Oreochromis niloticus: one gene and its partner. The protein of the gene in region 1 purifies or fractionates together with the protein of each later gene. This does not show direct contact. Links are inferred from orthologs where the notes say so. Each region holds a gene or a part of one and is shown on either strand. Other genes may lie near its edges.

Evidence for each region.
Region 2: the proteins of fbxl5 (region 1) and aco1 purify together in Homo sapiens (affinity purification with western blotting; 3 studies listed by BioGRID, with this or other methods). This does not show direct contact. The link is inferred for Oreochromis niloticus from reciprocal best matches to the Homo sapiens genes FBXL5 and ACO1.

What each region holds. Positions count from the first base shown.
Region 1 is NC_031986.2:36,966,212-36,974,012, reverse strand, and holds the start of fbxl5 (F-box/LRR-repeat protein 5), read left to right. Parts: upstream 1-4,799; 5' UTR 4,800-4,880; coding exon 4,881-4,964; intron 4,965-5,645; coding exon 5,646-5,861; intron 5,862-6,938; coding exon 6,939-7,034; intron 7,035-7,251; coding exon 7,252-7,447; intron 7,448-7,801. Other genes in the region: serine/threonine-protein kinase Nek1, read right to left, coding at 157-275, 613-685, 771-971, 1,262-1,316, 1,788-1,874, 2,350-2,417, 2,515-2,598, 2,702-2,799 and 2 more.
Region 2 is NC_031967.2:277,699-284,851, reverse strand, and holds the start of aco1 (cytoplasmic aconitate hydratase), read left to right. Parts: upstream 1-4,141; 5' UTR 4,142-4,288; intron 4,289-5,364; 5' UTR 5,365-5,370; coding exon 5,371-5,479; intron 5,480-5,568; coding exon 5,569-5,737; intron 5,738-6,189; coding exon 6,190-6,327; intron 6,328-6,411; coding exon 6,412-6,481; intron 6,482-6,555; coding exon 6,556-6,739; intron 6,740-7,153. UniProt on the Homo sapiens protein: Bifunctional iron sensor that switches between 2 activities depending on iron availability. Iron deprivation, promotes its mRNA binding activity through which it regulates the expression of genes involved in iron uptake, sequestration and utilization.

The sequences.
Region 1 (7,801 bases):
ACTTACTCACACACACACACACAAATGGGAGAAGCATTGACAACAAATACAGCTTCTGACATAAGAAGGCAAACCCGCCCCCCCAACAAACAAAACAAACTTCATGACTAAAGATCGGTCTTACCAGTTTGTCATCACCAATAACAGTCTACTAACCGGTTTGTGTTTTCCAGCTGGTTTCTTGTCTGCAGGCTTTCTGGCTCCATCTGGGACCTTCCTCACAGTTAAAGGCACTCCGTATTTGGCGGCTGGTTTTGTAATCTTCTGGGCTGAGGCTGGTATTATGAGATATCCAGAAGTAATTTAGAAGAAAAACTCAAAAACAAACAAAATTTGTATTTTAGTCATCCAATGTGCGCACCTACACACACACACACAAAATAAACAGTGTATTTTCACAACATAATAAAAATCAAAAAGAAATGAGCAGATTATTGCACGACAGATGCAAAAGTCCAGCATCTTTCATTTATCAGTTTTGATTTAAGGTGTAATAGTCCCCCATAATGCCACTGATATGTGTCTGACTTCGTGGCTGACTAAATCTTGAATCTACAAACCAGCTGTAGAAGGCAGACCCCTTGTAGTCTTCTTCATCATGAGTTTGCTCACCTGATGGCATCTGTGCCACACCCAATTTAGGCTGCTTGTGAAGAAAAGTATGGCGAAATTCCTGAGCAATGATCTGAAATGAGTAAGAAATTTAATGAGCAATCTACTTTTTGCAAAGAAAACCCCCCAAACAATTAACAATCAGCTGCAGAGTCTACCTGTGGTGTGAGAAACTTCTCAATCCTGCAGGAGAGGAAAGGTTTGTCCAGTATGCTGTTGACTGAAGGTCGCTCTCTGGGGTTGCGTTTAAACAGCTGTGCAAGGAGAGATCGCAGTTCTTGGGAGTAATGACATGACACAGGAGGGTATGACCCGCGGATTATCTTAAGAACCAAGTTCTTCATGTTGCCAGCCTCAAACTGAGAATAAACAAATGCAAAGGCACACACAGCTGTAACCACTGCATAGAAATTACTGCAGACAATTGAACTATATAGGGATTCTTAATGTGGGGACTGTACTGGATTAGATATTTAATTAGGAATTAATATACTGGAAATTAATTTCAGTGTATTATCTAACTACAGTTATACATATAGAATATACAAGGAAGAGATCAAAATTAGTATGTGAGAGAGCAGTAAATGCTGCATAAAACACCTTACAATACTGTACAATAATTATTAAACAGCTCACACAGAATACTTACTGCATGCTTAAGAGTGCACATTTCATACAGAACACACCCTAGGGCCCAAATATCACTGCAGCAGGAAGGAAAAGCAAGGAAAATGAGAGGCGAGAACATACAAATGGGTAGGCAGGGATAAGTTCTGGGTTAAGTTTATCATTCATTCAATAAGGTATCAACAGTCAAGTGCATGCCCTTTATTTTCCTTTTATAAACTGAGATGAAAACAAGACTTTATTGACAAGAAAACTCCAGATCATTTAGACTGTGCTAAATTTACTTCACTGATTGTAACTAAAGTAGGTTAAATTGCATGTACACTTAAAATAGCTAAGGAGAAAAATCAATACCAGCTTCCTGCTGTAGATGTAAGCGTGCAAGTTTACTCAGTAAAAAGGAGAAGTGATATCCTTACATTACACTGTAGCCACCGCCTAATCCTGCAGACTCAAGATTCAGTGGGGAGACACCTTGTCCCATTGATTACTATTGAATTTGCTTGACAACTAGACACCAATGTACGATATTCCAGAAGTCCAAGTACCTTTTGTTATTGTATGGTTTATTTTCACAGATCTCTGGTGACAGGTAATATGGTGTTCCTATGCAAGTTCTCGCCAGTTCTACAGTGCTGAAAAACAGAAAAATAGCACATTTTAATATTAAAGCTTCAATATTTCAAATAGGCACTTTCTAATGTGCAAAAATATAAACAACAACATAAAAATCAAAGCAAAAACAGCTGTAAAAAAGGAGAAAAATCAACATCAATAATAAATGCACTTAAGACCCTCAGAATAAAATTTATAAATACATAAAACATGTAATACATTATAAGATCAGACATATTTGTTTTAACCAAAAGATATTTTTGTGTAACAACAGTTAAAAACAAAACAATAATTTAAACACAACAAGTTAACAAATTGGCTAAAATAAGGGCAGTGTACAGATAACACAAATTCAACAAAATAAACTATAATATTTTTTAAATGTAGTAAAACAGAATGTCTTATTACCAGAAATGCAAAGTGTTCTTCAACTTTTAGTCTGAAATCTATGCTTAATGAAAAACTGCAGGGCTACTCAGACAACAGTGTGCATACCTGTTCAGCACCCTTGCAATTCCAAAGTCTCCAAGCTGAACTGTTCCATCTTTTGTCAAAAAGATGTTCTACACAAGCATTATGAGAACACATGTAAATAAACCAATACATGCAAACAAACAACTTATCACTTAAAGGGAGGTCTTGTGATTTATGAAACAATACCTGTGATTTTATGTCTCTGTGGAGAATTTTTCGATCGTGTACATGCTTGAGCGCTAGGCAGATCTGCACAAGCCAATCTAGGATCTCAAAAAGGGAGACTACAGTAAACCATACTTATCGTGATCAGTTTAACCCAATATGTGTATACTGTTTGCACAGTGACTGCCTCGAGTAGTTGCTGGCTTACTTGCTCTTCTGAGAACAGTACCCCTTTCTGAGAGTTGATCTTTTTGAATAGGTCTCCACCCTCGCAGTAGTCCATCACAATATACAGACAGCCACCCTCTGGGATTAAAGTACAAATAAAATAAAAAACTTATAGTATGTAGTTATCACACAGTGCACATTTGATAATATTTTCTTCACATAAACAGATGAGCTATTTGAATGGCATTAATACCTTCAAAAGATTCCTTATACTGGACGATGTTTGGATGACTCATGTTGGCAAGAACAGCAACTTCCTTCCGAGATTCCTGCCTCTCTTTGCTGGACATCTGTCAAAGTAATGAAGAGGGTAACGAGATGAAGCGCACGCTGAAAACAACATGCGAAGCTTGTGTAATATATGCACAGAAGCTTACTCCAGATATGCCAATCTCCTTGATGACATATTGGTGTCCATCATCTTTGGATTTGACCAGGATAGCCTTTCCAAATGAACCTTCCCCAATTTTCTTCACCTTTTCGTACTTGTCCATGTTATTGGAATGACTGGCTCCACATGCTGGATCTGCAAAGACATCAAGAACATGCTAATGCTATTGCTCGGTGTAATTAGGCTTTAATCGAGGGTTCCGTGACAGCAGTTTTATAAAAGGCAAACATTTGGTAGTCTCAATAATGCCAATTGTGCGTCATCCTGGAAATGTAATGTTAGCTCCATTGTGGACCGCTGTCAGACAGAAAATGAGACGGACTGTGATGCTGAGATGCAAGACACAACACAGCTGGTAGCAAAACAGCTAGCGTTTCCGTTACTTAGAAGCTAGAAGAAGATGGAAGCGTCATAAAATATTTACCCTGTGAATGCACAAAACTCTGGCTGATATAATATCACCGGCTCACTGTGTAGCCGTATACGTTTGTGTGTGCCTTACCATTAGTCTTTTCTCGCTGCCTTTCTCATAGAGGTTCGGGTACTTGATACTGTCCTCGCACTCTCTATCTAACTACGGCTACATTTTTTTTGTACGTTTTCATTGGTCAGATGTACCAAGACCGAACATTAATTGGTGTACACGACTGTCCATCATCTGTTATTGTGGATGACGCTTACCAGTTTCCGCCCCCAATGACACCGTTGCTGTGGACATTTTCCATAGCAACCGCAAACCAACTGAGAAGCATGGAGAACGTGTAACGTTTGGCGATTAATTTAGTTAAAATGTATTTATTTTTTAGTTACTTCATCTAGTATTTTCGTATTATGTATCTAAACCACAGAGCTTCGCTCAACTTAGTAACACACTATCCTCGTAATACCTGTATGGAGTACCGTAACTGTCAAACTGAAAGACCACAGTATTGATTCAAATTATAAATTATAAATCATATTTATTATATAAAAGCTGCCTCTGTATTTATTATCTAATTGTCTATTTATTTATTTATAAAATATTTATAAAATTCTCCATTTTTTTATTTACTGTTAAAAGTGTTCAGTATGGATAGGCTTCGAGGTTTATTGTTTCCATTGGTATTGACTTATCTTAAATTAATTATTACAGTTGGGTAATGAAAAACATAAACACCCACCATGGTGGATAAGTTATTGCAGTGTGAACTTAATTTAATTATTTGGTAAACAGTAGTTTAGTGCTCCTGCAGCAATTGCAGTAGTCTTTCTCTTTGGATGGTGGGTCAGACATTTAATGAAATAATTTCCCCAATTTAATCTTATTTTCATAGCATTTAGTAACATTCTTTATTTACTGATTAATTTATTTCAGTCTTATTTTTGGTGATTTAGGTCTTCTGTACTTTATGTGGGCTCTGCCGCATAAAAACCTGACAAAAACCTGAAAGTCATATATAAACCATACTGTATATTTAAATAAGTATGGCATACTGTATTTATATTTTTAGGAATTTGGCTGTTTATGCGTAGCAAAATGAAATTCACAAAGGTATTCGTCTTTCAAACAAATTATGTAATATCGCAAACGATTTAACAACATAAAATATATATCCCAGTGTAAAATTCTGTTTAATTTAATTTAATTTAATTTTTTTTAAATTTAGACTAAATTCCTAAACACATTTACTGGATTTACAAGCCGCGGTGACGCGGGCGGCTAGCTCACGCCTCCTTGTTTGATTGTATCGAAGGCTGTGAGCAGATGACGCAGTGAGGTCCAGTGAAGATGGCTCCTTTTCCGGACGAGGTGGATGTTTTTACTGGCCCGCACTGGCGAATGAAGCAGCTGGTGGGCCTGTACTGCGAAAAGGTGTGTACAAATAACTGTCGTTCCTTAATTTTGCAGATTTACGAACAATTTTTTGGCGGTTTGTGTCCGAAGGTGAAGCGAACGCCTGCTAGCATGCTAGCTAGCTAGCTTGCTTAATAGCAGCAAGAATTGAGTCAGTCGAAGGAGATGAACTGTCGGATGACTGTCTGACGACTACACTGAGACCCTTTGGTTGATCTGTGGTCAGCGTTACGTGGTAGTATTCACGTTTCCAGCAGTGTGAAACCCTAACCGACTGAACCTAATAAAGTTTTTATAGCCACTCCTCTCCGCAGCTAAAAGCCTTTTCTGTTTACTAGCCTAACTAACTTGCAAGATAGCTTATATAACGTGCTTTAAGTGCCACATTGGAGTTTCTAATGTTTTCACAAAGGGTGGTGCATATATTAATAAGAAGTGTCTTAACAAGACAAGCTAGGGTAAGCTCATTTAGCTGCAACAGCTAATGCACGAAGGGTGTGCTTCACTAACCCTAGCTCGGCTACAACACTGATGATTTGACACTCTCTGGCATACAGCCACTATGTTTACATATACGTATCAGTTACTGTGTCTAATCCTACCAACTGAAACGCTAAAATAGATCACATGGATCTTATGTGGTGATTTATTTTGTAAGAAATAACGCAAAGATCTTATTTGATAATTCTTCTTCCACAGCTGTCCAACACCAACTTCTCCAACAACAATGATTTCCGCTCATTTCTTCAGTCCCTGTGCGCCACATTTAAGGAGTTCAAGATGCATGAGCAAATTGAGAACGAGTACATTATCGGGCTGCTGCAGCAGCGCTGCTGCACGGTGTACAATGTACACTCTGACAACAAACTTTCAGAGATGTTGTCCCTCTTTGAGAAAGGGCTTCATAGTATTAAGGTAACGATCGACTAGCATTTTAAAATACACATTTTATTGTCATGTTATGATCCTATATTTCACTTGATGCAACTTTAAAAATAGCTAACCAGAAAAACATTGGCTTTAGGTAAGGGGAAAAACATATAGTACAGTGCTCAATTGTTGGGTACCACTCAGTCATTAGAATAAGTATCATGTCAGCAACGCAAAGATTATAGTACATACAAAGACATCAAGGGTTGTTATTTTTCATGTACACATGTAATTTCCGGCACATCTTCAAAGCGGTTTTACTCACATGCAAAGCAAAATTACCAGTGTTATAATAAATGAGAATTAGTTTTAGCTAACTTACACACTTGGGCAGTCAGTCCCTAAAGGCCCATTGTGCCATGAGAAATCTGCATGTTAATTATACTACACTTCCTTTAAGTGTGGAATAATACTGTTATTTATTTGTTATATCCACTTTTGTGACAGTTCTCTAGTGTTACAGTTTCATATTTAAAAGAAGAAAAAGGATGAATGAAGTTATTAAGCATGAAGTTAGTAAGTTGAACTACTTGGAACAGAGGGAGGGTTATTTTTGTGATCTGCTTATCGAGAGACAAGAGTTATTGTTCTGTCAAGCCATGGGCAAACCTCCACCCCAAGAAATAAAAGACAAAAATAAAGGCCTTTTTAGAATTATGCAATTGTGTAAACCCGAACTTCCGCTGCCAGTTTGGAAATCAGAAAACATTTTCTATTTTTGCTCTCAGGAGAAATCCTGCTTTCTGTCCCAAGGAAAACTGTCTCCTGGGAAAAACAATAGTGTCCTAAATATTTAGATTATATTGAATTCCTGTCATTTGTGTTAAAAAACAGTTCATGATATTTACCCTGAGAAATTACCCTGAGTAAATCAACTCCTGTAGTAATGATATTAAAATATTTTTGAATAGAAAATAATACTTTAATGTACAACAATTATTGCAAAATACAGCCATTAATGATGATGCAAAATCAAAATGTACTTCTCAATGTAGGGAGTAGTGATTGAGTAAGGGTGATTTGGACACAGACCATGAATTAATCATTGTTGTGTGTTTTTAGAGTGAATATGAGCAGCTTAACTATGCCCAGCAGCTGAAGGAGAGACTAGAAGCTTTCACACAGGACTTTCTGCCCCACATGAAGGAGGAAGAGGAGGTATAAGATGCTCAAATTTCTTTTCCTTTCTTTTTTTTTTTTTTTAATATAAACATATTTTAATTACCCATTGTGTGGGACATCAATTAAAACCAATTTATGTTGAACAACAAAAGGTAAAAAAATACACTGGAAGTTATCATAAAAACATGTCTGTTTGTGTCCCAGTTAATTAAACTGTTGCAAGCTGTTTGTAAACTGAGGAGATTCGTTGCAGGTGTTTCAGCCTATGCTTATGCAGTACTTCAGCTATGAGGAGCTCAAGGACATCAAGAAACAAGTGATAGCGCAGCACTGCAACCAACAGCAATTGGACAGTGCCGCAGAGGTGCTAAAGGGCTTCAGTTTGTGGAGCCAGGCGGAGGAGCTGCAGAAAGCCTTCAAATACGCTGATCACGAGAAGACAGATTATGGTGAGTGAGTATGTATTTAAGCTGGTGCTTCGTACTTAAGCACATTATAACTGGTCAAGTAACCCCACTGTTCAATATACCACACGTTTAGATAAGCATATCAATCAGTTGTCTTTTAGATCTAATGCAATGTGATAACTCATGTCCAGCAGACATTTTGACTGTCCATTAAGGCATTTCTTATGATTTGATCAATTTAGGCTTGACTAACTTGTTTATACCTGCATGTATCTTGCTGCAAAATGTCAAAAATGTCTCCTTGATAACGGACCTCTGTACTACCGGGACAATGTTTTAACTGTTAAAGTCACCAGCTTCATGAAAGAACACTCTGTCTTAGAAAGTGGTTGACAT
Region 2 (7,153 bases), on another chromosome or scaffold:
TGGAGATCAACAGCATCACTGACTGTTTCTGTGAGGACACCATCATCCCAGCAGGGCTGTTTCCCAACAACAAGCCCTGGACCATCAGAGACCTGAAGCTGCTGCTGAATGAAAGAAGAGGATCTTCAGGTCTGGAACAAGGACCAGCTGAGAGTGTTAATAACGTTACTAATGTTCAGCTACACTTTACTAGGTCACATCTGTGACACACGTCACTTAAATAAAGAAGGAAATATTGGCTCTGTTTTATCTGCTGGGCCCAAAAGTGACTCCCCGTATTTAAACTGCTATGAATAACTTGTTGGTCTATAATATGTGAAACGTGTCAAATGTCTCCATCATGAAAGATATCAGGTCATCTTGAGCCACAAAAACATTCCTATCATGAGGTAGAAGCTGGAATCAGTTTGTTGCAGAGGGACGTTTATATATCCCATATTTATCCAGTTAAAGTCACATTGAAATTCAAAAATGTCTTTTCAAGAGTCGTCTGTCCAAGAGGAGCAGAAACAAATATAACAACAGTTATTTAAGCTGTTTTAAAGGCCACAAAGGAGCAGATTGGTTATAATGCAGCTGCTTCAGAGGAATAAAGATGAAACACTGTTTTTATTTCATGTGTAACACCTTTCAATCATGTGTTGACTAAAGTCTATTGACCAGTATAAGTAAAGACATCACACACACACACATGGAAACACTGAAACCTGTTTTTGGTGCAGCAGCGGTCCCAGCTGCTCGCCTTTATCTAGACTGGGTCGGCTGCTTATCTCAATATAATCAATGTTTAAAGTTCTCAGTGTTTCTGTGTTGCTTCGTATAGGATCTCCCAGCATCATCACTGTGCTGTCCAATCATTGTGTGCTAGGTTACCCTTATAGTGCGATGTGTGTTTGCACAAAGAGAAGCATGTGTGTCAAATATAAAGAAGCACAGAACAGAAAAAGCTGCCAGTTTCTTCTATTTATGTTTTATGTTTCATGTTTCTACATGATTATATGTCCTGTTATTGTTCTGTATTATATTCAGCTTTCAGCATCCTTTCCCAGCCCCTGTTACACCATCCATACAAAGCCAATCTGACTGTGAGCCAATGTGTTTGATAGTTTGTGTTGGATCAATAGATTTGACAGACTTGGTTCTCATCCAGAGGGAAACAGTCCAAATTCAGATCTAATGAAATGATGGAGGCTGTTTCCTACCACGGTGCTAATGTGTGACTAACAAGGCTCATGGTCTCCAGCAGACAAGCGCCTGGAATGAGGTGAGCTGAGTCTTGCTTTGGTGGGTCTGTGCCATCATCAGGTGACCTCCAGGTCACACTGGAGTATGTAATGTTCGAACTCTTATTTTGAAACCAGCGGAAGTACACAGGTACGCCGGCTGTATGTGCGTGTGCTAGCTTAGCAGTTGACAGTTACGTGGATGCGCTGATCCTGATGTACTGAATAAAGAAATCTGTATGATTTCTTCATCAGTATTGAAGCCACAGCACAGTAGCTGAAACAGCAGGTATGAGGCCCCACAAATCTCAGGCCACGATCCTCAGCCATGTCCCAGTGAGGAACGAGTCACTGCTCTAAGTGGGGGCGTTTTTAGATCTCGGGGTCTTGTACTAAAGGGAGGGAAGACGTGAGCAGGAGATTGACAGATGGGTAGATGTCAGTCATTGTGAAGATGGAGCTGAATGTAAAGACAAAGCTGTCAGTTTACTACAGTCGTACCCTCAGCTGTGGCCACAAGCTTTGGATAGCTTTGGAAAAAATGAGATTGTGGATACAAGCCGCTACTCCTCCACACTGAAAGGAGCCAGGTCTAGGATGCTTCCTAGGCGCCTCATGAGCGAGGTGTTCAGGGCGTGTCCTGCTGGGTCCTGGTCCGGGGTAAGACCAGGACATGCTAGAGAGATTAGATCTCTCGACTGGAAACAACACAGTGTCTGCCCAGATAAACTGGAAGAGCTGGCTGTGGTGTGGCAGGTCTGTGTTACTCTGCTTAGGTTTCTGCCCCTCAGACCCAGCTCCAGATAAATGGAAGATGGATGGAAAAGTAAAAGGTCAAATGTGGTTTGTAAAGTCTCATTTTGAAACCTTGAGATGAATGTTTGCCCTGTTGTCATCTTGGTAAAATACTCATCAGGAAAGTGTTGACTGGGGATGACTGTTTCCTTCTACAGTGTTCCAGGAGCTACATCCATGCTGTATTGAGCATTGTAGTTGCTCGTGTATAAGCAGTCCCATAGGACTCTCCCATAGAGCTTAAAATCTGGGACTCTCCAACAATTACACTTAGAACTGAAGAAGCTTCTCAGATGACAGGAAACGTCTTCAAGAAAACTTAAAGAAGTCCAGACGCTTTCTTTTCAAGCTCCTTGGATTGTATACAAGCACCAGTCCATTTCATATTATATCTCAACCAGCATGTCCACACAGAGCCAGTCTTGGAAGCAAGCAATGCTGTACTTGCAGTATGCTACTGTGTAAAACACAACCAGCGTAAGTAAGTAGTTCTGCAACTACTAACCATAAAGATGTGTTAGCTTAACACGAGCCACACACCGACTGTTATCTGACCCTTGTCAAATACGTGCTGTATTTACTATGTCATCAAGATGTAAAGCAATGACACAATACATGTAAGAACATAGCAGCAGCACCATCTACTGGTCATTTTGATAAAAGCAGCTAATCTTTTAGTATACAGTCTGCACTATGCTATATTGTAGCATTGGGTTTGCAGCTAGTTGCTGCAACATTGTTACCTGTGCTGGATTATGGAGATATTCTATATATGAATGCTTCTGCTCAACGTCTTTGAACAGTTGATACTGTGTATTGTGCTTCCCTGAGGTTCATCACTAACTGTAAATCTCACACTCACCACTGTGAGTTATACTCTCAGGTAGGACGGCTGCTTTGGCCAGTCGGAGGAACTCTCATTTATACAATTTTAAGGCGATAGTCGGATTGCTGCCTTCCTGTATATGAACAGGCTGATCAGAAGGGCCAGCTCTGTTCTGGGATGCCCTCTGGACCCAGTGGAGGTGGTGAGTGACAGGAGAATGGCGGCTAAGCTGTCATCCCTGTTGGACAACATCTCCCACCCCATGCAGGAGACTGTGACAGCTGAGCAGCTCCTTCAGTGGCTGCAGCACCCACGGTGTGGGACGGAGAGATTTCGCAGGTCTTTCCTCCCCACTGCTGTCAGACTCCACAACAAAGACTTTTGCAGCTGATCAAACACACACATGTGCAATAAGATGCTATATGTGCAATTCTCTTTCTGACAAAGTTGTACTTTTGTATTTTCTTACTCAGTTGTATATAGCATTTGTATTCTACTTTATTCTATTGCATTCCAGTGTTTTCTAATTACTGCTGCATAACTTTGCACTTTTGCTGTAACGAAACAAATTTCCCACCTGTGGAACTAATAAAGGTGTTCTTATCTCATCTTATCTTATGTTCCCTGGTTGCAGTGAAACATGCTGGTCATTATTCTCTTTATGAATGTGTACAATATAAGAAATAAATTATTGTGTTAGGTTTGCTGTTCCCCATTTTTGGTTCATGTTGGTTTGCTCATGATAGTTTTTAATAGCATTAGTTAATGTCTTGCCTAATACTAACTAAATGCCCAGACTACGTGATATTCTCTTAATCACCTAGTTTGTTTTTTCAAGCTTCCACTGATTTTCTATGGGACTGAAGTTTAGAGACTGGCTAGTCCACTCCATGCCCTTAATGTTCTCCTTCTTTAGTCACTGCTTTGTTGCCTTGGCAGTATGTTTTCACTCAGTGGTATGCTGGAAGCCCATCTTTAGTGTTCTGGCTGAAGGAAGGTTCACATCCAAGATTTTATGGTGAAAGACCCGTCTGGCCCCTCAATGTGGTGAAGTCATCCTGTACCCTCAGTAGCTCCAAAGCATAACAGTCCATGCTTGACTGTGGTTCTGGTGGTCTTTCTGTCACACTCAGCATTTCTCTCCCTCTTAATATAGATAAAATATAAATAAAAGCCAAACAATTGTTTTGTTTTCTCCCACCGAAAATAAATAAATAAATAATCCATTTCCCGTTCCAGTTCCTTTCCATAGTTGTCAGATATACGTGGATATGAAGCTGCAAAGCCCGGCGTCGGTTCAGCTTTTATTCTGAATAAAAAACTAACCGGAAGTGTCGCCAGTGGAGGCGGAACCTGGGCGGAACCAGCAGCAGGTTTTGTGGCGACTAGCTGGTTGTGACCAAACTCTGCTGTGATCCGGTGATACTTCAACACTGCATCTAAAGTAAGCGATAACTATCCGACCACATTTAGTTTCTTGGCTTATTGACGATTTTCCAGAAGAAAATCTGAACTGAAATTCTCGTTATGTCGCTATGAAAGCTAATTTATTCACATTATGCTTTATACCAACTCACGCTAATAAGATATTATATCTGAATTATTAGCTAATAATATGCTTATTGTTTCTTTCCTTGGTTTTAGTATTCAATTTAAATGTTTATCTTTGAATAAAAGTCTGATACCTGTCTTCATACATGCTGAACTTTGACCCATAAGCTATGCTAACACGTAGCATCAACTACATTAATTCCTAAACGGGTCCAGTTAGCCGTGATAGTTAGCAGGTCAGGTTTTCTTCACACTTCCACGTTTTTACTGATGATATATAAACGTGACTGATGTGGAGACAAAGCTGTACTATCATCAGGCTTCAAGTGTAAACATTCTGGTTGAAACTGGGACCATTCTGGTAAAAATGTCAGCTGGCATAAACCGAGGCTACAAATGTGAGCTAAAAGTCAGCGTCACGTATTGGCAGGAGTGTGACGTCTAGATTGTTACACTAAATCATTAGAAGAAAAGCAACGGTGCATGTCTTTGTCACTGTCGTGGCAGTTTGACTTTGCACTTGACAGCAGAGGTTTAGCCTGAACTGCAGCTAACCAGCCAAGTATGTGGTCATGCAAGGTGCGCAGACATTTCACCTTTCACACAGATAACGCCTCTTTCTAAGGTCTGTCATGCCCCACAACCTGAATTTCACTTAATGTGTGTTTGAGCTGCAAGTGACTGATGCACAGTTACTGTCACATTTTAGTTAAAGAAATGGAGTTATGCAATGTTCATAGCACGAGGTCAACGACCCTCCACTAACCCTGTCCTGAAATCCAAGCAAATCCACCTCCCGTTATGAGACTAGTAATAGGCCCGAGGCTCTACCTTCCTGTGAGTCTTTGTTTGGTTTGTATGTTGTTGACATATTTGAAAGGTACTTGAAAAACAGATGGTAAAGGGACTATTGTTATCCACGCTTCTTTATCCTGCATCATGTGAGTCAGGCTTTTGATCTTCTTTTAGGAAAAGATGTCGGCAGCTGTGAAAAATCCTTTTCAGCACATAGTTGAGCCTCTGGACCCCAAAGAGCCAAAGCAGCAGTTTTTCAATCTATCCAAGCTTGGAGATCCCAGATATGGTAGGAGCACATCTACACCTAATGCTAATGTGAAGCATCTCGTTGGTGCATACAACCAAGGAGTATTCACTTGCACATGCGCTCCTTAGACCGTCTGCCGTTCTCCATCCGGGTCCTCCTGGAATCTGCTGTCAGGAACTGTGATGAGTTTCTAGTGAAGCGTTCGGATGTGGAAAGCATCCTGAACTGGAAGCAGACGCAGTTCCAAACTGTGGAGGTGCCGTTCAGGCCAGCTCGGGTCATCCTCCAGGACTTCACGTATGTCTTTTCCTCAGAATTTAAATGTCAGTGATTTGTTTTAGCAGAGAAAGAAGCCTTTTACTCATTTAATTACGTGTACTGCACATTGGTGTCTCAGTGATGTCATCAAAATAACCTCGCCTTGGTCTGTAACAAGAAAGTTATATCACAAGGTGTGTGCAGGTGTTCTTAAATCACTGTTTCAGCAGACATCATCTCAGGTCCGAAAAGAACCTTTGAGTGAAATAACTAGATCTGGATTTAAGTGCAGTTTGCAGCAGCATCTGCTAAAAGCAAGCTGTATTTTAAAAAAAGTTATCCACTGTGTAAGCAGCAGGTTTCTACTTTAACATAGAGCCCAAACAAATGGCTTTGGAGTCTATTATTAGTCATATTTAGTGCACATTTAAAAAGGTAATATTACTTTCTGAGCTGCACTGTCCCTGATCAGCCTGTGCTGCGTCCTGCAGCGGCGTTCCTGCGGTGGTCGACTTTGCTGCCATGCGTGATGCAGTGATGAAACTAGGTGGCGACCCAGAAAAGATTAATCCAGTTTGTCCCGCTGACCTCGTCATTGATCATTCCATCCAAGTGGACTTTAACAGGAAGTAAGATCTTTGCTTTCTTCCACTGTGTGTCAGTTCATAGATGTTTTATTCACTGCTTGATTTCACCTGTTTTTCCTCACGCAGGTCTGACAGCCTTCAGAAAAATCAGGATCTGGAGTTTGACCGCAACAAAGAAAGATTTCAGTTTCTAAAGGTGTGAAACTGAACCTCTTATGTCTGTTTAAGTCTGATGCTTCAGTCCATAAATGTGATCTCTGATCTTTGCAGTGGGGCTCGAAAGCCTTCAGAAACATGCGGATTATTCCTCCTGGTTCAGGAATCGTTCACCAGGTCAACCTGGAGTACTTGGCCCGCGTGGTGTTTAACCAGGATGGGCTCTTCTATCCGGACAGTCTGGTGGGCACTGACTCTCACACCACCATGATCGATGGTCTGGGTGTCCTGGGCTGGGGTAAGACGTGTAATGTGTAGGAGCCGTTATTAATGATGAACCTTTGTCTCGTGCTCTTTTATTTATTGTCAGTTATGCTGTAGGCTGCTGCTGGGGGACGTCCCACCATGAATGAGAGTGATTATATTCGCTCATAGTTTCTTTTTGCCATGTTTATTGTTTGTGATTTCTTTTGCTCTGTGTAGGATCTTCACCTTATAAAATACACACTACCAGTCAGAAGTTTTAGAATAAACCAATTTTCCAGTTTTTTTTTATTGAAAATGATGCAGTTTAGTGTCTCATTGCACTTTGAAATCAAAGCATAGCACAGAAATCATGGAGTCTGTTTATAGATCAAAGTGTATTGTAAACTTTGGCAGATGTAACAGCTGAACACAGCCGTGTCATTCTGTCTACAACAGAAATCAAATA